3 linked regions of the Schizosaccharomyces pombe genome follow. The gene in region 2 interacts genetically with the main gene of each other region. Each region holds a gene or a part of one and is shown on either strand. Other genes may lie near its edges.

Region 1 (6,148 bases), on a different chromosome or scaffold from region 2:
AGTCATCAGGTATCGACACGTTGTTATGTTCCAGTAACAGTGAATTCCCAAGCAAAGCATGAAAAGTCCGCTCTTTCCACCTAAGTACAACATCAACACCTTCACCTGGCACAGCATTGAATGATTCAATTCCAATTTCAGAAACATCGGTAAATTCTGAAGCTTTCTCAGTAATAGCTTTTCCAATTGGATGTTCACTTGAAGACTCTGAAGCTTTAACAAAAGCCCAAAAAATATTCTTAGGAATGTCAAGTAATTCCTCCAAATTATCTACAATGCTTATGTCGGTGACACTTAGCTTACCCACTGTAAGTGTGCCTGTCTTATCAAAGACAACAGTGTCAACCTGATTTAGACGCTCTAAAATTTCACCACCTTTGATGATGATACCGTTCAGAGCACCAACACCGGTTCCAACCATAACGGCTGTAGGGGTACTTAACCCCAGTGCGCATGGGCAGGCGACAACGACGACACTAATTGTCAATTTTAGGCAAACTGCAAACTTTCCCATTGGATCATCAAACACCGATGGGTATTTTGAAGAATATTTAGTGAATAAAAACCAAAATGTAAAAGTTGAAATTGAAAGAGCAACAATTACTGGAACAAAAATTCCAGCAACGCGATCGGCAAATTGTTGGATAGGAGCATGTGAGATTTGAGCCCTCTGAACAAGATCAACAATCACAGCTAACTGTGATTCTCTAGGTGATTTTGTTGCTTTTACAAGCAGTCGTCCATTCCCGTTAGCTGTTCCGCTCAAAAGTTCATCGTCAATTGTTTTATGCACTGGAACGGGTTCTCCAGAAACAGAACTTTCATCGACGTAGGAAGAGCCTTCAACAACCGTACCGTCTACAGGGATTATTTCGCCAGGCTTGACTAGAATGAGGTCTCCACGCTCGATGAGATCAGCTAAGATCTCAATTTGTTCATTGTCTTCTATTATCGTTGCACTGGAAGGAGCAAGGCTCAACAGTTGAGAAAGAGCAGCTGATGTAGAACCTTTAGCTTTACTTTCCAAATAACGACCTAACGTAACAAACGTCAATAGCATATCAGCGGTATCAAAAAATATAGGAGCAGGATTATCAGCATGTCTAGCGCTGTAGAGAATCATGAAAAAGATACTGGCAGCGAAGGCTACAGTGGAGCCCAAAGATACTAAAACATCCATATTGGCTGTTCCTCTTTTCAGTGCATGATATGCGGCAGAATAGTAGACCCTTCCAACACCAAACTGGACGGGAAGGGATAATACTAGGCTGATGATGTGGCCAGCACATATACCAAAATAATGGGGGACCAAAAAAGCAGCACGCATGGAATCACAAGAATCGAATATCTGGGGTAAAAACATCACCGCCAAAGAGAATGATATTGAAATAATAAATCGGATTTTCCATACTCTAATTTGACTCCCTCGTTGAAGTGACAGAATACGAGAGGTGGAGGAATCTACTGGTTGAAATGTACATTTGACACCCATAGATAATATTTCCTTCATGATGGAACGAGGGCCAGTAATCTCAGAATCATAAATGACACGTATAGCTGCATCCGGGGAGGAAGAGCAATTGACGGACAAAACGCCTTGCAGTTCATTGATATGATTATGTACTTTGGTCCATTGTTCCGCCTGCATAGGAGAAAGTAATAAATAATTAGCCATGACACCATGTTCACCCTCTGTTGAAGAAATCACAGACGCATCAAATCCACAATCTTCAATTTTCTCAGCGATCTGATCCGGTGAGATAATGCTAGGATCATGAACGGCAATAGCACGCTCAAGAAGCAACGATATAGTGAATTGTTCAATTCCTTCCACTCCTTCCAACATGGATTGGATAGAGGCCACACAACTGGTGCATGTCATACCCTGGACTGAAAGTGTAGTAGTATACATTTTAAGAAACTAAACAAAATTTTTAAAGGCAATCTAAATTATAAAAAGAAATAACGAAAAAGAAATAGTACAAGCCAATTAGAGATTAAATAAGGAAAATTAAGAGAAGCGAGTTACTGTATAGAAACGATAAATGTTGGAAATGTCGAAATAAATAGATAATAGTAAGGAACCCAAATCAAAGACAAGAGACGTAAAAAAAAAAAGAAACCCCCTCAAGTGAAGAAATAATCAAAATTTGACGATTAAAACCAATTACTTAATGTAAGTCAACAGCAAAAAGAGACAAGCCGATGATCAACAAAAGAAAATCAACATACAAAACTTTGGAAGGAAAAGAAAAATAACAAAAACGATACCAATGTTAAACAAAGCCAGCTAATAAAGTCTTTTTACACGCTTAGCAGTTAGCTGTTTTAGGTTGGGATACCACGAATTCAGAATTCGAATTCGCTTATTGTATCGTGATTTTCACCACAAAACGATTTAGAAAAAAATACAAAACAAAACGAATTCAACTTCAACAGACTACAGAAGAAGAGCAAATTATCAGCTGAACTTGTTAACAAAGTGTTAGTGAGTGTGTGGTAGATTACAAAAAGCACATGATGGCAGCGATATAAAACCGCAAAAACTCGCGCAAACTACGAAATATACAACTTGTAAAAATAATATTCAAATTGACATAATTATGTTTTAAATTCGAGGAGAATAAAAATCTTTGACAATAATCGATCGAAGCAGAGTACGACTTTTGGAACCGAGACGCATGCACAGTGCAAGCATATGATTCCACTCCCAATTGCTTAACAATGTGTAAAGACACTTCGGTAAAGCAAAATACAACAGTATGGCTAAGAACGTTATGTAAATATCGAAAATTGTAACGCAACATTCGATAAATGAGATTAAAACGGTAAACGTTAGAGCATGTCTTCTAATACCTTATCAAAGAATAAGGGAACGAAGCGTACATGGGTAAATTGTTGACCCATTCTAAACGATAAATAATAAATGGGACACCCAATAAAATAATTCAATGGATTTTGTCTTGGAAGAATTATTAATTCAAGTCGACATAAGGACCTTAACAAGAGCTGCCACAAACTTGAATAGTCTTCTAACCACTCCCACTAGAAAAATTATCGTTGAAGGTAAACATAAACATACTGTGCAAGCGCTAAACAGATTTACACAGATAAATTGAGAGGATCAATCAAGCCAGAAATCAAGAAAAGAGCAAAGATCAACTGCAGAATATCAATTGGCAGTTTTGGGGTTTGAACTGGTAAGTTTCAAGCCCAAAACTTACTAGATGACGGATTAAGGAGAATAAAAAAGAAAAAGGAAAGGAATAATCATTATGAAAAAATAAGTGGGGTTATATGGGTTTGCATGGAAAGAAGCTTAAGATTTCCAAAGCTTTTTAATACCCTCCGTAAGGCCAATATCATTCGTGTTGAACTCATAGACGCCAATAAGTGTAAGAACAGTACATCCACGTAAGATCCAGTGCATCAAAGGAGATAACTTCTTAAATCTTCTTGCAGGGAAGTAGTCAATCACACAAGATTCAAACCCCAAGTGGGCATGCGTAATCAAGGTGCAAGCCAATGCAGCGTCCATTAAGGGATGAGAAGTTCCGGTGAACAAAGGGATCATGACTTGAGGAACCATGGCAATAGCAATAATTCTTTCAAAGTCCCAATGATAGCTTCCGTGGAGCTTACTGTGGTGAGGGAAAACAGCAGCATCATTAACAGTTCCCTTAATGGTCTGAGGGGGAGGAGGGAAAATTTTCGCAACACTGGTTGTGCTAAAAGATTTAACTGCAAAAAGAAGACGTCCTTGACGAAGTGCTCCAAGTCCTAAACGTGTTTGTAACATATTGTTTGTAAACCAAGAAAAGCTGGTGGTGGTAGTAGGTGAGTTCGTATTGGCGGATCTTGTGTCCACATTATTGGCCATTCAACAGCTCGATGTGTTGAGCTTGGAGTGGCCGGAAATAGGCGATGAGAACCTAAATCTATCTACTCATAAACGAAAAATTGTATAACATAGAGTAAAGACTAGAAATTTAAATAGATATAATAGATTAATAAGTTTATTCAGAAGAATCTCCGGTCTTTAAGGTCGTTTCAAAACCTGGTTATTACTTTTTATAATAATATTATTCACTGCTGAAAACGAATTACCTTCTACATATAATATTACATGGGTTTTGTGGTGAGTTTGAATATCTATTATAATATTACACAGTACCAAAAGTTACTGCAGTTTCAAAAAAAATTTTACGGAAAGCACTACATTGTGAAAAAACAATAATCTACTGTAAATCTTTTTACTTAATAATATAATATAGATAAAGCTATAGAAATTTACTTGTAGCAATTATGCTAATATAAAGGTGCTGCATTGGCTTAAAAAAAGGTTAGAGAAACGGTTTTAAGAGGATGAAAATTTTATTTAAATTAATATCATTTATATAAAAAACTATTCTCATAAAAAGAAACCATCAAGCTACTCAATAGTCGATGTATAACAATGCTTGATTCGGTGCTAGTCAAAATTCTATAGTTGGACTGTTATTTTTTTAAAAATGTATTAACCGAAATATTGTAATGGAAATCATGGAAAAGAGAATTTCGTTAAGTATAAATAACCTTTTAATGTAGATGAATACGAACTTAACCTGATGAAGTGTCTTACCCTGTCTGATTCAATGTCATATAGATTCTTTTCAATATACCGATGAAACAATATATCCCCTACATAGTTTTTTACCAATGAGATTCTCCATGTTAAGTAGAGATATATTATATCATGAACTGGATTGTACGGTCATTCGTTTCCTTCCTTTATAGCAAATTGCGCACAGGGCAAAGACTAGGCAATCCGAAAGTTTCTGTTTGAATGGTCAACTTCTTATTTTTCTCTACATGGAAATTCTAGTAAGGGATTCAAGGATTGCTAGTTTTCTTTTTTTATTAAATGGGATCAATTGGTCATTTGCCGAAATTCGAACTTGGGACCTCGATAACACGTATTACGCTACACCTCTACGGAATACCTTCTTGCTACCTACTTACCCTTTACCATCCACAGAATCCCACCCAACCAAAGGAGCTTGAATTGATATTACTATGCTGAGGCTTCAGAATTTGCCAAAGCTAGTACGTCGTTTTGCGACTACTGCTTTACCAAAAACAGAAACCACTACTTTAAAAAATGGGCTTACAGTTGCTACGGAACATCATCCGTATGCCCAAACAGCGACCGTCCTTGTGGGCGTTGATGCTGGCTCAAGAGCTGAGACGGCAAAAAATAATGGCGCTGCTCACTTTTTGGAACATTTGGCGTTCAAAGGAACGAAAAATCGCTCCCAAAAAGCATTGGAATTGGAATTTGAAAATACTGGTGCACATTTGAACGCATACACCTCTCGTGAACAAACCGTTTATTATGCACATGCGTTCAAAAACGCTGTACCTAATGCAGTTGCCGTTTTGGCCGATATCCTGACAAATTCAAGCATTTCTGCCTCGGCGGTTGAGCGTGAACGCCAAGTCATCTTAAGAGAGCAAGAAGAGGTTGACAAAATGGCCGATGAAGTAGTCTTTGATCATTTACATGCTACCGCTTATCAGGGTCATCCTCTTGGACGTACAATTTTGGGTCCTAAGGAAAACATCGAATCTCTTACCCGTGAGGACCTTCTCCAGTATATTAAGGACAACTACCGTAGTGATAGAATGATTATCTCTTCTGCCGGTTCGATATCTCATGAGGAGCTTGTAAAGCTCGCCGAAAAATATTTTGGCCATTTGGAGCCTTCAGCTGAGCAATTGTCGCTTGGTGCTCCTCGTGGACTCAAACCTCGTTTCGTCGGGTCTGAAATCCGTGCTCGTGACGATGATTCACCAACTGCCAACATTGCCATTGCTGTTGAAGGTATGAGTTGGAAACACCCAGATTACTTTACTGCATTAGTCATGCAAGCCATCATTGGTAACTGGGACCGTGCTATGGGAGCATCTCCCCATTTGTCTTCTCGTCTTAGTACTATTGTTCAACAACATCAACTTGCCAATAGCTTCATGAGTTTCAGTACTAGTTATAGTGATACTGGACTTTGGGGTATTTATCTTGTCACTGAGAACCTTGGCCGTATTGATGATCTCGTCCACTTTACCCTCCAAAACTGGGCTCGTTTAACCGTTGCAACTCGTGCTGAGG
Region 2 (9,446 bases):
GCGGCTCATCATCTGGGTCCGCAATATCAGTTGCCTCAAACATGATTGCATTTGCATTGGGGACTGAAACTGATGGAAGTATAATTGACCCAGCCATGCGAAATGGGGTTGTAGGTTTGAAGCCCACAGTAGGACTGACCTCTCGATATGGCGTTATTCCAGAGTCTGAACACCAAGACACAACAGGCCCAATTGCCAGAACAGTTCGAGACGCTGTTTATGTTTTCCAGTCTATGTGGGGTATTGATGAAAATGATATTTACACTTTGAACCAGACAGGAAAGACTCCTGAAGATGGTGATTACATGAAATTTTTATCCAACAAAACATCTTTAGAAGGCGCGAGATTTGGACTTCCATGGAAAAGGCTTTGGCAAAATGCTAAGGCTGACGAAATTGATCGTTTATTAGAGGTAGTTAAACAAATCGAAGAAGCCGGGGCTATTGTTTACAACAATACAAATTTTTATAACCTGGATGTAATTTCTAATGATGGATGGAATTGGGAATTGGGTTCCGTCAATGAATCAGAATATACGGTTGTCAAAGTGGATTTCTACAACAATATAAAAAGTTATTTATCAGAAGTAAAAAATACAGAGATACATTCTTTAGAGGATATTGTTGAATATAACAATAAATATATGGGAACAGAAGGAGGAAAACCAAATATTGTACCCGCTTTTTCATCTGGTCAAGATGGATTTTTGGCATCTTTGGAATGGGGTGGAGTTAAAAATGAAACCTACTGGCAAGCTGTTGAATACGTGCGTCGTACATCTCAAGATGAGGGAATTGATTACGCATTAAACTATACGGATCCTAAAACGAATGATAGTTTTATATTGAATGGCTTGTTAGTTCCAAGTGGTACATCAATTACTTACCAGCAAGCAGCAAAAGCAGGATATCCTATGATTACTCTTCCTATAGGTGTAAAAACAAATGGCAGACCATTTGGATTAGGAATTATGCATTCAGCCTGGCAAGAACCTCAACTAATTAAATATGGATCGGCTATTGAGGATCTTCTGCAATACAAAGCAAAACCCAAGTTTTATGAATATGTTGCCAAAAACGTTCCTGTTTGGTAGGCAACCACATCTCATGAGATTATATGATTTCTTTTTTCTTTTACTCTGGTTAAAGTATTTAAACAGGCGAATTAATTTACACTCGTTTCGTATCTTATGATTTTTACATATTAATTGTGCTATTAACTAAGCAAAATGAGATATATATATGGACGATAAACAGTTCTTACTTACTTTGGGTTTAGCTATAAATAATAAAAAAGTTACAAAATTCATTAATATTTTGTTGGGCCTTTCAAAACAATCTTTAATATAATATGTAATTATTTATTTGTAGATTGAGCAATCAATGATACTTGTTAAAAAAAAAGAAAAGCTGAAAACGTACCTGGAGACAAATACTCAACATCAAAACATAGTTACTTTACTACATGAGAATTTAAAAGATTACATTAGATCCATGAAATAACAACCATAGTTTCTAACAGATGTTTATTCAATAATTAATAAAAACATCTACTAAGAATAGGATCATAAGCTTTATAAACAAAATTCAGAAATAGTTGAAATTCCTACAATTTGAATCAGTTATCCAATTATTATCTATTAACAACCTTATTTTAGAAAGCCGAGGTTTGAAACGAAACTCAATAATATGGTTCTTAATTACTGTTTTAATTTGTTAATAATATGTCACTCAGTTTTTTTGCAAAATATAGTGTTGTTAATTCAATTCTTTTTCATGTAGTTACACAGTTCTAGGATTAATTAGCCAATTTACCCCAATTTTGTCCCAAGGTTGTGCATAATGATTTAATATATAGAATCATGCTTATCAGACGTATGAACTCTACTTAAAAATTTTTTTATGTTTAAAACGTAAGGAAATAATTTCAAATTCTGGTTTATCAAATCTGCAAACGTATATACAAATTGTAAGTTACATGTAATACTTCAAAATGAGGGTATTAGTATATATAACTCTTTATCATAAATTATTTAAGAAGGCATGTTTGTTTCCCTTCGATTTCGAACTATAGGCCCAAAATAGCAATTCAGTTGTTTAAAATCTGGGTTAAAAACGTAAACCGATATCATTGCTAGTATATTAGAGAATACGTTAACTTAAAGCAAGAATTTATTGATTTTACATCATGATAAATTTGTGCGGATGAAATAAAAATGTTAGGGTAAAGTCTTTGATTCTACTACATGATCGATGCAGTGAACGACATGTTTAATAATTCAAAAGATATTAGTGGCTGATTAATGAAATCGACGGCTGAAAAAGCGATTAATATTTTTATCTAATTTATTGCTATATACGGCCTACTATGCGAAAACAAAAATCTCGCTTCCGTTATCAGGTGTATTCGCAACAAAAGGAGATAATATTTTAGATTTGCGGCATGCAAACTCGATTTTGAAAATTGTATAGCGCCTTCGCACGTGCAATCCTTTTTTCTCTCGAATAGATCGAATTCACCTTTTAAAACTTTTAATACTTCAACATTCGAATCCTTGGTTCTTGTTTACCATGTCTACTAAACCAAATTCACCAATACGGGACGTCTAGAAACTATAGTGCACAACAGCAATTAAATCCGTCTAGTACAATGAATTCTGATTGTAATAAAAGCTGTCGGATATAACCCGTATGCCTTTAAAAGTGCAGCCAAGAGATTCACATTATTAACGAATTCAATTTCCACATACTTTTATTTAAATTGATGTTATCTTTAAACATTTAACTATATTCTCATTGCAGCTAGTGCTAATCGAAATCAAAATGGAGTTGTTGTACAACAAGAATGTGAGTTTTGCTTTCAGATTTAAAATATTATTATGCGAAAATAGCGTGCTTTCAAATCAAGTAAAGTTCATTTTTTTAAAAAGGTAAACCGATTTAAAGTTTGTAATATTCATTATCCATAGTCACAAATAGCAATAAAAATAAATCAGCTTCATAATAAACGATAAATAAGTAATTATTTGAGAAACCATTCTATTTCGGAATATACTTGAAAAAAGTACTAAAAAAATCTGTATCTGAACATTTTACAATGTTCAGCAGAATTCTAAACCTTTATAAATTCATCAATTCACTACTTCACTTTAATGTTATTCAACCAGTTATTGCAAAGTATCCAGAAAGATTTTGCTGCATTTGCGACTTAAGGAATATACGGTCCAAAAAATTCACTCTGTACTTTATTTGGTTCAACTCCTAGTTTGACTAGTTCTTGCTTAACAAAACGCATATAGTTATTTGGTCCAAGCATGTATATGTCGCATTCACTTAAGTCTAGCTTTTCTAGGTCTTCTTCATTTATAATACGAGTCATTACCTCATCCACAATCTGCTCTTTAGTAACTGAGGACTCCTCCGAAAAGAACTCTTTCAATTTCAAGTTCTCTTTATATTTAAGTTTGAGTTGCTCAAGCCACTGTTTGAAAGGACGGCTAACATAATTTCTGCTAGAATAACAAAAGTTTACCTTTCTTCCATCTAATAAAGCTGTCTCAATGATTGGAATAAGCGGTGTTATACCAATACCACCAGCAAAGCAAAGAAGCGGGCGATTTACATTTTCCTCTGAACGTTTGTAAACAAAATTACCGGCCGGAGGACTGACACCAACGATATCACCAACTTTCAAGTTATCGTGTACAAAGTTGGAAACTACTCCCCCAGCGACTCGGCGTACAGAAATGCGAAACTGATTTCTACAAGTATCAACACGATTAGACAATGAATACTCTCTTAATGTTTTATGTGATAAACCAGGTATTTCCCAGAGCACACTGACATATTGCCCTGGGTGGGCATGAGAAATTCTGAAAGCTGGATCTTTCGGACCCAAGTAAACTGATTTTACGTCGGAAGATTCATTAATAAGTTCTGTAACTTTGAATTCCACGAACCCGTTCCATGGCTGACTCTGATAAACTTTTTTTTCAGAGTCAATCAAAATTTTTGCCAAGTTACCATATGCAGTAGTCCATGCCTCTAAAAATGCCGGGGTAGCAACATCACTAGGTAGTAGTTCTTGCATGGTGCTCAACAGACAATGTCCCACTATGGGATAATGTTCTGCTTTGATCTGTAAACCAACATGTTTGACCACAATTTGATCCATAAAAGCCGAGAGCGAAGTGAGATCATCAATGTTTTTAGCATAATTCAACAAAGCAAACGCTAAAATCCTTGGTTGAGATAAAGAAATTTGATGCGCTTTATTAAAGTACGGGAGCACTTCCGGGTAGTTACCTAGCATTTTTTGGTAGAATGCTTTTGTCAAGTTTACCCCAGATGATTCAAGGATTGGGATTGAAGAACGTATATACTGCTTTTGCGATTCATTAAGTTCTTTTATTTCATAGCCTTCTGCTAGATTTGCCTGTCGATTTGTATTAGCAACATCAGCGTTTTCACGATTAACCTCAACACTGGACATTTTACTTTGGAATCTCTAATTCCAAACGGTTATGCCATATATATATTAAATCAATCAAGAAAATAGTAAGGCTTTGAATTCTTTTAACTTACAATATTAATAATCAAGAAGTAACCAATATTGAAAAGTTAACTCATTTATGACCGTTCTGCAGCTTTGGGTTTCTTTTAGGAGTCTCGGGAGACAGCTCGTTAACTAATCCGGATCAAGTTGCGTGTTAGCCACTCAGAAGCCATTCAGGTAGGGAAGCTGTATGCTACAAAATCTTTTGCTGGCATTCAGTCGTACGACGTTTCACTGCCAATGGTATATTGGAGCATTTCCACTTCGGGTTTGTCATCACCGTCGGCTGCGACTTTTGATTAAACATTGACTTACTTCTAGATCGTTCGGTAGAAGTCTCAGCCTCGTTGATAGTGAGAACACGAAACCAAAGGCCTCAACCTCTTGTTAAATATGATTACAATGAAGCACATTTCTTTATAAAGCATGATATACTAACTAACATGATTTGAGTAATTCTTTTGTCCGCCGTTATAGACTGTTTTGGATCTTATAATGAAGCGCAACAACATTTCTAAAAAGATTCGTCAAAACATTTAAACTAAACTGTTTGAGCTCCCATTTAAACTCTCCCGCGTTTTGTTTTTAGAATGTTAAAAAGTAATGTGCAAAATTTGGGTCCTAGGAACTTAACAGGTTCTAATGATTCTAATGACAACTGATTGAACTTCGACGGAACGTTTGTTTACAGTTTTGAAATAAATTTGCCAAAACAATTATCTGTTTAATGATTGCTGTTTTTTTCCCGAAGGAACACCTCAAAATCTTTTGTAACAATCAGTCTTAAATAATTTGCGTAATTTTGCAGCATAATAAATGAGAGTAGTAACCGTTACTTATTAGTTCCTGGTTACAGCTATTTACTAATGTAACGAAAACCGTAGGAAGAACTATAACTACACTTTAGTTAACGAATGTATTTAACATAGTGATGCATTGGTATCGTAATTTTAATGAACCTACCCTTCATCTTTCAACACAGATACTTGTTATGGTTTTTACTTCTACGTTGAAGAAAACAAAGTTAATCTGAGTATTAAATTGTAGGGATGTTAAATTAATACAATAATTCAGGAACTTTTCCCTCTTACTTATGCACAGATCAAAGTAATGCTGGTAAGGACGTGGTTCTTATCGTCAAAGTGAGAAAAGAGAATAATCAAAAAAGCTCATGTCTTATGCAATGTTGCTGTTATATCACACTATTAAATAGCCGTATATTAACGAGATAAGATTTAAATGAATTCATTTGGATATTCCAAACATCTTGGACTACAAGCAATTCAAAAACTAAAGTCATTTTTGCATAATTTGCAAAAGTAGGACTGTGGTTAAAGTGGATCATCGCTTACTTAAAACTATTAGTACAATTTTGATAAATATAATAGGTTTTTGTTGAAGAACCTAGTCAATGTAAGGTTGAATAACTTGTTTGAGAAAACGAATTCAGCTTCAACATTTTTTGTTACTTAAACGAGAGTTATTAAAAATATCTGTACATCACAAATTATAAAAGTTTTTTTTTGCAAACATTCTCCTCCAAGGCATTTGTTTCAATTCCATTTTATTGCAAGGGTTTACAATTATTCCTTAACTTTGTTGTGTAAGTTCAAATGCAAATATTAAAGATCATAGTAATTTTTTCCGTACCAAATCCTCTTTACTTTTCGTTTTCTAAATTGAATCTTTTTTGCCGAATTTTGATTGTACTAACTGTCTGACCTTTGACAACCGCTACTTCCTTAGCTTTTGGATATTCAAGCGTCACTTCTCAACTTGCATTTAACCTTCAATAAAACGTACTTCTCAGCTTAGTACGCAATCTTCATAGCTTTATTCCCTTTTTTGAATTATTTGTCTTGTTGTATCAACCTTCAAGGTAATTTGCTTATATTACGTTTAATTAAGTAGTTTTTGGCTCGATTCTGAGCAAAAAGTTTTATTTTTACTCAATTGCTTATGGCCATTTGTGAAATAGTACCTCTATATCATCAAAAATCGACTGCACAGATGGGTCTACATACTAGATTTTGAGTAAACACTACACAACTACGAACCCATTAGCGATATCAAAATTTTGTAGTTATTTCAATCTTCTATTCCGTAATCATAAACTTTTAGTAACCTAAAGCTCTTCTTAATTGATATGCCATAGCATTCTTTACGAGCTGATTATTTTAACTAAATTGCAAATATATCATTGATACAAATATAATCATAAATTCAAAATGTTGCCGACTTTTAAAAGATGAAAAAAAATTAATATTTAATAAGTAGAAACGATGTGTAAATATTTCAAAAATGTCTAATTTTGTTAACAAACGTTCTCCTTTAAGCTTACACATAGTTTATGGGAACAGCTGATGCATTAAAAGCACAAATATGCAAAAATGCCTTCAATTACTAAAAGTACAAACTTTAGTTTTTTATTGCAAAATCGAACAAAACACATTTGCAAAAGAGATAAAGGGTATACTTATCTTACAAAATTTACTTGCATCTATTTATTTTCCCAATCTTTCATTACCTTCTTCAGGAAAATTATAAATAATTGACATTTTCACAAAAAATCACTTAACGTCAATATTGCCTACTTGACTGCTTCTTTTTCTTTATCTCTTTATCCCGACAAACAAACAGCGTCGTAATCATCACTGTATTGCCTCGTTTCTCAAGGGCTTTCAACCTCAGTAATCCCTTATCAACTACAAAATATACATCCAAACAACTGAAATGTATTTTATTTTTTATTTACAAAAGAGTCTCTTAAAAAATCATTAATCACTTTGATTACACATTAAGTCAGATAAATGATAACCTCTGTAGAAATCGCTTATTTTACTATCTTCGTTTAGTGGAATAGTACCTAAACGGACTATTGTTGTATCCAAAAGTAAGTATAATGAATAAATGAGGACTAAATTTGCGCAATAAAGCATAGCCAAAAAATGACAAAGCTCAAATTACGCTATTATTTGCAATCAATTGATTTATTAAAGATTAAAATTCATAGCAATAAAAGCTACATAGGAAACCAGGAGGTTAAGATTATTTCTGGTAATAAAGCAAATTCACAATTGGATGCTCTCAATAAATTAAGAATTTTAAATCAAAAATTCTTAAGACTGCAAAGCTTGTCATTTAAGTTAAGATTTAAAGAAAATCATTTGCTTTCTTCTCTTTATCATCATCAGAGAGGCTTTCAATTTCAACTTCTACTGCATCCACATAATTCATGGGTTCGGGGGCCTTTGCTTTTCCTATCGCTAGTTTACAAAGATATACAATAGTATCTCTGCTTTCATATAAAGGATAAAAAGTAATATACAAAGCGGCTATTAAGGTCCAAATTATAATAACAATAATCCATCCTCTAAAAAAAAGCTTAGAGAAAATATACTTTGATCCATACATTGGAAGTGGAACTATAATCACCAAAATAAAAAATATTATCCAACTGACAAAGATTCCAATCCTCAAGGACCTATCAAGTTGCTTTTTCTCAGTTTCTGCATCAACAATTTCTTCAGCAGTAGCGTCATCACCTAACACAAACTTTTCATTCAGATTATTTAGATCATCTGATTTGTTAGGGAAAAAGTAGGATATGAGAACAATATAAATCAATCCAGAGAAAAGACCGGTGAAATTACCTACCGCATTTGCATAAGGAGTATTTAAGGTTGTCTTATTTACAACACCATTAGAAAACTTGTAACACGATCCTACCCAGCAAACAACACCTGTGATAGATCCCATGGGACATCCAATAATCATTCCATATTTATTCATTTTTTTCCAGAATAAAGTCAATGTAATTCCGAACACAGCTGGTCCGAGGGCAATACCAATGAATGTAATAATCCATGAAATTGTTATACCGATATAATTGAAAAGAACAGCAAGGGCACCCATACATACAGCAAATATAGTAACAAAAACATGTGTAACACGAACTAACTCTTTACCACTTGCATTCGGTCTAAAATAATTGCGGTAAACGTCGTATGTCATAACCGATGAAAAGGCAACAAGTTCAGCGGAAGTTGCTGATGTTGATGCCATAAATAAAATTAAAACTCCAGCGGCAGCACCGTTCTTTCCCATTAATGCAGTCATTCCATATAGTAAAGGCATACCTTCACTAACTTGTTTACTAGAGACGGGGTCCGGATATGTAACACTAACTGGATTATTAGTCAAAGCCAAACACGAAAGTGCCGCAGCAGAACCCATGGCCCATGGAACAATTAACCAGGCCAAACCGCCAGCAAAATAGCCTTTCATTGCAGATATAGGCTTTGCAGCAATCGCCTTTTGTCCGTAGCTAGGATCACAAAATACTGTTGCAAATCCTCCGATTACTATATTCCACCCAACAAAAACAGCATCACGGTTTGTTACAGTAAGGTAACTTCCTTTATATCCAGTAGATGGGTTTGTTTTAGAAACCTCGGTTAACAAATCATACATCTTATCAATTGACCCAATGTGCACCGAGGAGGTATACGCCACGAATAAGGTAATCAAAATAACGATGTAAACAATAACAGTATGAGTCCAATCACTAAGGAAAGTAGATTTGAGCCCACCAGACACAGTATACAACCATACTCCTAAAGGAAGTAAAAATCCTGCTGCAACAACATGCATTCCAGTGATTGCCGATATAGCCTGAGAACCACCGAGGAGAAGCATGGCAGAAACGATGATATTTGTACCAAGCGCGTAAAATAAAAAGACTGCATGACTTGCTTGGCCAAATCTTGCTTTAACAATTTCAACAATTGTGTGTGCTCCTGGTGCTACTCTTTTTACTTGTAAAGCAATCACCGTAAAAAATGTAATTTGAACTGTAAATGCAAATGAATACCACATACTTCCACATACG
Region 3 (6,812 bases), on a different chromosome or scaffold from region 2:
GGCGGTGTAGCTACCGGGAACGGGATTGCCCATAACATCTCTAGCGGTTTTGCTGCTAGATTGACCGGCATTCTTTATGCCCTGTTTAGCAGATTGGGCGGTTTCCTTAGCGCCGATTTTCATGTTTTGCATTGATTCGTTAATAGTTCCAACCATGATGATGAAGAATAGAAGAATGTAAGAGAATCAAAAGTGTTGTTGATAAATAAGAAGGGGATTTTTAAACGTAAAAGCGTTAAAAACGTGATAAAGAGTTAAATAAATAAATAAATAACAAGTTCGTTAAAACAATTGAAACGTAGAGACAAGAGAGATCACTTGGGGGAAAGAGAAATCGAAAACTTGTCGAGAGTCGTAAAAAAGAAAAGAGTCGTTAAAAAACAAACGTAACAAACAAATAATTAATATTGATAATAAATCGGGTTATATATCAATATATATTATATATATATATATATAGATAGATAGAATGTGTGTAATTGATATATAATATAAATAATAAGAGAAATTAGATATAGAGAGTATCAATCACAGAGACCTTGAACACAAAAAAAAGGAGATGAAAATGTGTTTTTTTTAGGGGTACAAACAGTAAATCAAGGAAGGAAACGAGGAAGAATTGAATAAATACAAAAATTCACTCAGTCAGTCAGTAGAAGTACTAGTAACAATAGTAGTATGTTAAGACTAGTAAAAAAATAAAATAAAAAGACAAAGACAAAAAAAGGCGAGGGGGTGCAAACTTTTTGACTATGACTTTTATGTATAGGAGAGAATTATAACAAGACTATGTAGTAGAGGGTAGAAGAATAGTCGTGTTATGAGGGCTGAATGAAAAAAGAAAAATTAAAATAGTATAGTATAGTATAGTATAAGAGTATGAGAAATCGTTTAGTACAAATTGAGGTAGAAATGTACTATAGACAAGAGAGTAATCAAATCAAATCAAATGAATCGAGTAAATAAGAGTCGTTTGAATAAGATGGGATAAAAGCAAACAAGAAGCGAATCTTTTTTTTAATCTTTTTTCTTTCGTAATTGTTATATGTGAGAAGAGAAGGACGAGCGAACCCATCAATATATAGTAAATGAGTCAATGCCTTACATCACGCCCAACTCGAGCGATTCAATACTTTTTTTCCAATCTACGTCACGTTCTTCATTGCAGAATGGCATGGTGAGTGTGAGCGTAGCAATAGGCATGCCATTCCAATGCCCAAATACGTCGCCATCCACGAGCCAAATTGAAACAAACGTCACCGACCCTACCAGTAATTAAGTTGAAGGATGGAAAGGGAAAAGGATGAGGAAAGGATGACGCTGTGGAGTAGAGAGAGAGAAGAGAAGGGCAGTGAGAGTGAGAGTGAGAGAATGGAGAAAAGGTATGAATGAAGAAAAGAAGGAATGAATAAATGTTGGAATGTAAGAATGAATTGAAGTTTATAGTAAATAGAAAAGTGAAATGTTGAAACCATCTTTTCTTTTCTTTTTTGCCATCTTTTCTTTTTTTCTTCTTATTGTTTACATGATGAATTGTGATTGTTTGATAATATTGCGTTTGTTTTTCATCTCTCCTTTCTTTTCTACCTCTTTTGCTATTCGGTTGATTTCCTCTACGTCGGTCGCAACTCAGCCATCAGCCTGGCCCTTTGACATCGAATTGTCTGTATTTTCGGTGTGGTTTGTTTGTTCATGCTGGTTGTCGTGAGTTTGACTCCTCCAGTCGGTGTTTGTGTTGGACTTTTCCATCATTTGCTTTCTCTTGGTGGTGGAATTACGACGTGCATTACGTCGATGGAAACGGGAATTACGAAATGGAGCGGGTCGCTTCGATGCAACTCGCAAATGCAAAAAGAGAAAGGGGAGAGGAAAGGAAAGGAGGAAGAGAGAAAAAGAGGAAAAGAGGAAAAGATATGGTTTCATTCCAAGAAGATGAAAATTCATGATTATTGTATTGTATTGTATTGTATTTTATTTTATTTTTATTTTGTTCTTATTTTATTTTATTTTATTGCATTATATTTTATTCTACATCCATTCTACTCGACTATTCTCTTTTTCTTTCCTTTGTTTATCAAATGCTCTCATCTTCACACCCTTACATCCTTTTACTCTTTACTCTCTTCTCTCTTCTCTTCTCTCATTCCTAAGCACTCCTTGCATCTCGCTCCACTACGAAAACTAAACTTATCGCACTTTGTTTCTCCCCTCTGTGCTATGTTTCCCCACGTTGGCTTGCGCTTATTGCAAACGACGCAATGATGACGAGCCCTTGGAGACAGGGAAACCGGGGAAATGCTACGTCGATGATGTTTGCAAATCAATGTGTTTGCCAATGTTCAGCAACAACAATTCCGTCTGCATACTCTCTGAAACATTTCAAATGTATTTAACTCAACAAATGTTACAACCCAAACTTTTTCTATTTACGCCCAAATACGTTGATAAGCATCTTTCAAAAGAACTGCTCGTTTCATCAAATGACTGCTCCAAGGATTCCTATATTCATGAGCTGATATGGCTATTCATAGTATCATAGAGCATATTATCAGATAAGACAAATTAGGTTACAGATTTTTGGTAGCATAGACATCTAGATACACACAACAACAAGATATAGATAGGACCACTAGGTAAAAATTATTATTAATAAAATATATACCCTTACTAAAAAAAAAAAACAAATAAATAAAAATAAAATAAATTTAAAATAATAATAACAATAATAATATTTCTTTTTTTTATTTTCTTTATTTCTTTTTTTTTTTAATTTAATTTTGCTTTTTATTCTTTTTTTCTTGTTCAATTTAGGTACTTTTCTTTCCTTGTCTTGTTCATCTTTTATTTTCTTTTACTGTATTCTAAGGCACTCCTTTAATAAAAGGTACTTGGTAGCGATTCCTCTTCTCCTTCTCACAAACCTTTATTAGCGACATCTACCGCACTACCAACCTCTCGACATCAACTTGACCCTTCGCTTCTCTATTCCGTCCCACCCTCCCTCGCTTTTTACAAACCTTCTTACTTAGCGATACACCTTAATTCGAGCTTCTTTCACAAAAGTCCATATCAAGTCGTTCGTCTCCCTTTTCACTTCTATAACCCCAGTCTTTACTCTCTCGTGTAATTTTTTTTCTCCTACTCTTACTCTTCTACTTTTACTACTACTCTTCTTTTTTCTCTATTTTCCTACACTTCCCTCTCTCTCTCTCTCTCTCTCTCTCTCTCTCATCCTCTTCATATCTATCTTTCATTAAATTTCCTACATCTTACTTCTTCTTCTCTCTCTTTTCCCTCCTTTTTCTCTTCCCCCCCCCCCTCAACTACCATCCATCGCCATCAAGTTCGTATTTGTCGCAATCCAGTCATGCACTTGTCGACTAATCCCATGGAAATACGGTGTTGCATACTTTGAATAGATCGCATAGTGGTGATCAAACGGATTTTCTAGACATTTCAACAGTAGATGCACATACGAAACTAAACTCATATAATCATATCCCGTAATTTGAGGCAACGTATTGCTCCAGTTTTCCTCTTGCAATATAGATTGGCCGGTGTAGGCGCATGTCGCTACCAATTGACTCGCCCTTAGACTTGAAAATCTTTGTTCCACTAGCGATACTTCAAGAAAATATTTTATCATTATTCGCAGCTGCGACTCCCATTTGTTGACAATCGTCAATAGCCTCAAAAACGATACTGGCCCCGGCCACCCAAGTTGATATTGAAGAACCATAAGCATATACTTTTCCATTCCGCAAATATCTTCTCCTATCCATTCTCCCTCCAACACTATTTCCAAATCTTTCACTGTAGGAGGATGGATCTCTTCATACTTGCAAGCAATAAACAGCGCCGTTGCGCCGCAAAGTTTCATTTTCGATGCTGGCACATTTTGTAGAGATAGAAATCTATCCAATACATTGATCGATAGGAATAAGGATTCTGGAAGCAGGTTTATACATGTATGCACCCCCACAATCCAATTGATCACACTAGCCCTCATCTCTGTAACATAATATGGTTGAGCCGACATATGTCGGTAATCAGGCATAAATCGAATCTAAAAAATGTTAATAAATAAAAACTTCTTCAACTCCTTCATCTTCTTGTTTTCCTTCCCCCTTTTCTTCCCATTTTTTTCATACCTCCAATTTCTCCATGTGCGATAGGATTTCTTTTGCGTATTCCACAGACACCGATTCATCTGCTGAATATCTCATCTGTAATTCCTCCTCTTCATCCTCCTCTGCACAATTGTCATTTGATTCTTCAATCGCTATGCCAAATTCCGAAACACTGCAATTAGGACTTTGAACGTTACTGATCGAGCAAACATCCAAATCTACCAAAAGCTGTTTCTCCGTAAAGACTATCTCTTCCTCTAAAGGTGACGCTAAAAAACTATCATAGTCCTTTTGTATTTGCGACTCTTCAATTGAACTAATTCCATGCCAGCTCTGTGACGGAAAATGTTTATCTGATGGGCTACACCCATTTTGAAGGGATATTTCTCGTACCTGTGCGTTCACCCAGCCTTTTACGTTCAATGATTTGGAAACATAATTGCTTATTTCTTGAAGCGCAACTCTTTTGTTGTTAGAGTTCATGTTTGAATTGGTTCTCGTTGCTGAAACGGTCGCTTTAATTGTTTCAACCAAGCTCTTAGGTAGGCAAGTATCAGTCAATACAATTGCTTTTACTCTTTAATGATTGGGAATCAAATCAAACCGTTTTCTTGAACTTTTTGTTGTAAAATGGCAGTATGCTATTAGCAGGTTCTGTTTGTTTACAGTGAGTCAACAAAAAGTTGATGGTGAAAATGTTTGTTTATTTCCCATATACATATACCAACGGTCGTAACCTTAAAGTAAAACACAACCCAAAACTAAACTTTACCTCTACTATATCAGAATTCATGCTGCTTAAAAATTCCAAACAATGCCCGAATTCATGAAATAGGTTTTTGTGTTGATCGAAACGTTATCAAAGTAAAGCAAGGATTTTGATCAAAAACTCTTTTATTATTTGTATTGATGAGTTTTTACAGTCGCTCATCGGTTGTAAACATTCCATTATTTTACCGTTTTCGAATCATTGAAAACTGAACATAAGAAATCTTGCTACAATTAAGCTTTTTTTCTATTAGGTAACCATCAAACAAGCTTAAAAAAAATAATTAATTTACGCCTTCTCGTAAGTTATTATAATCAAACAAATTGAAATGTAATTGAAAAGAATCTCCTATTCTAAGATTTTTCTACAAACTTGCTTCGAAAGTTTCTTCTGCACTTATACAATGCTATAAGGAATATTCCTTTCTTCTAATTTTGATCGATTTTCGCAAAGTAGGATTGCCTGATACAATGTCAAGGATCTGATTTAATTTCCTTAAAAAAAAAAAAAAGAAAGAAAATGAAAACTCAACAACTTTAAATCATATTACAGTTCCCATATTTACTTGATATCCCAAGTTTACTACGACTTAACTTCTACCACTATCCTTTGAGAAGCACATGGATTCGAAGAAATAGCATATGGAAGTTTAAAAGTTAACGGGTCTCCGAAATCCATTCAAAAGTTTAATTCCATAAAAACAATCTAACATGCTAAAATTTCATCGTAATGTGAAGCCTCAATTTGGTGCATTTGCAAGGTATAGTAGTTTGGGAAAACACAACTCTCGTAAACGGGTTGGAATCATCCGCTTAGCATATGGGTTGACAGGAATCGGCTTGGTTGGATTAGCTGGCTTCGCTTGGGCTCAAGATCGTCACGAGAAAACGTATCAGAAGAAAGGCGTTCAGGTGGAGGGACCATGGCAATTTTATGTCCTTACCACTTTACCATTACGAACTCTCTCGCGTTGGTGGGGATATGTTAATCGTATTGAGATTCCTCTATGGATGAGAGTGCCAGCGTTTGGCCTTTATTCTAAAATATTTGGTTGCAACTTGACAGAAGCTGACCCCGATGATGTCCGCCAATACAAAAATCTGGCCGAGTTTTTCACCAGAAAGTTGAAACCTGGAGCGCGCGTAATTGATCCCGATGCCCCAATTGTTATTCCTGCGGATGGGAAAATCTTGAATTATGGTGTTATTGAAGGAGGTCAGCTTGAACAAGTAAAAGGTATAACCTATTCCCTTGATGCACTATTGGGCGATGAGAAGTTAGCTCGTTTGAAGCGCAGCCATGCTATTCCCTCTCCCGATCATATCCCTCACATTCGTCAAGAGGAGTTTGCCAAGTTAAATGGTATACATTACAGTTTACAAGATTTAATGGGTCATGATCATGGTGAACGACCAAGCCATGTCAAAGATGCTAGCGCACAACATATTGATTTGTTAAGCTCAACAAAAGTGGCAGCCAAATCACAGTTTACGTTGTTCGGATCAAGAGAAACGAATTGTTTATACTACGCAGTTATTTACTTGGCACCAGGTGATTACCATCGATTTCATTCGCCGACTGATTGGGTCGTAGAACGAAGAAGGCATTTTTCCGGAGAGCTGTTTAGCGTTTCTCCTTTTATGGCTCGTCGACTCGGAAATCTTTTCATCTTGAACGAAAGAGTAGCTTTGATGGGGAGATACAAATACGGGTTTATGAGTATGATACCCGTCGGTGCTACAAATGTTGGCAGTATCCGAATTAAATTTGATAAAGATTTATGTACGAATCAGTTTGGAAAACTAGGCCCAGTAGGTACTTTTGATGAGGCTGTATACACCTCATCTTCTTCTATTTTGCATGGTCACCCATTACTTCGTGGAGATGAGGTCGGAAATTTTGAGCTTGGTAGT

What was found. Genes that interact genetically often act in the same process or in processes that back each other up.
Region 1: mutations in yhb1 (region 2) and tim18 together harm fitness more than expected from each alone (negative genetic interaction), as found in Schizosaccharomyces pombe (one large-scale study listed by BioGRID).
Region 3: mutations in yhb1 (region 2) and rem1 together harm fitness more than expected from each alone (negative genetic interaction), as found in Schizosaccharomyces pombe (one large-scale study listed by BioGRID).

What each region holds. Positions count from the first base shown.
Region 1 is NC_003423.3:2,033,751-2,039,898, reverse strand, and holds tim18 (TIM22 inner membrane protein import complex and succinate dehydrogenase (SDH) anchor subunit Tim18), read right to left. Parts: upstream 3,840-6,148; 5' UTR 3,800-3,839; coding exon 3,320-3,799; downstream 1-3,319. Other genes in the region: Cu(2+) transporting ATPase Ccc2, read right to left, coding at 1-1,912; SPOM_SPBC29A3.21 (uncharacterized protein), read right to left, coding at 2,505-2,807; MPP complex beta subunit Qcr1, read left to right, coding at 5,056-6,148. UniProt on the Schizosaccharomyces pombe protein: Membrane-anchoring subunit of succinate dehydrogenase (SDH) that is involved in complex II of the mitochondrial electron transport chain and is responsible for transferring electrons from succinate to ubiquinone (coenzyme Q).
Region 2 is NC_003424.3:5,513,005-5,522,450, reverse strand, and holds yhb1 (nitric oxide dioxygenase), read right to left. Parts: upstream 4,501-9,446; 5' UTR 4,493-4,500; coding exon 3,209-4,492; 3' UTR 2,501-3,208; downstream 1-2,500. Other genes in the region: SPOM_SPAC869.01 (amidase), read left to right, coding at 1-1,094; SPOM_SPAC869.03C (urea transporter), read right to left, coding at 7,709-9,446.
Region 3 is NC_003423.3:1,950,100-1,956,911, forward strand, and holds rem1 (meiosis specific cyclin Rem1), read right to left. Parts: upstream 4,614-6,812; coding exon 4,152-4,613; exon of another isoform or gene 4,067-4,151; coding exon 3,320-4,066; downstream 1-3,319. Other genes in the region: SPOM_SPBC16E9.20 (uncharacterized protein), read left to right, coding at 1,693-2,262; phosphatidylserine decarboxylase Psd1, read left to right, coding at 5,610-6,812. UniProt on the Schizosaccharomyces pombe protein: Required for pre-meiotic DNA synthesis and S phase progression. Regulates levels of meiotic intragenic recombination.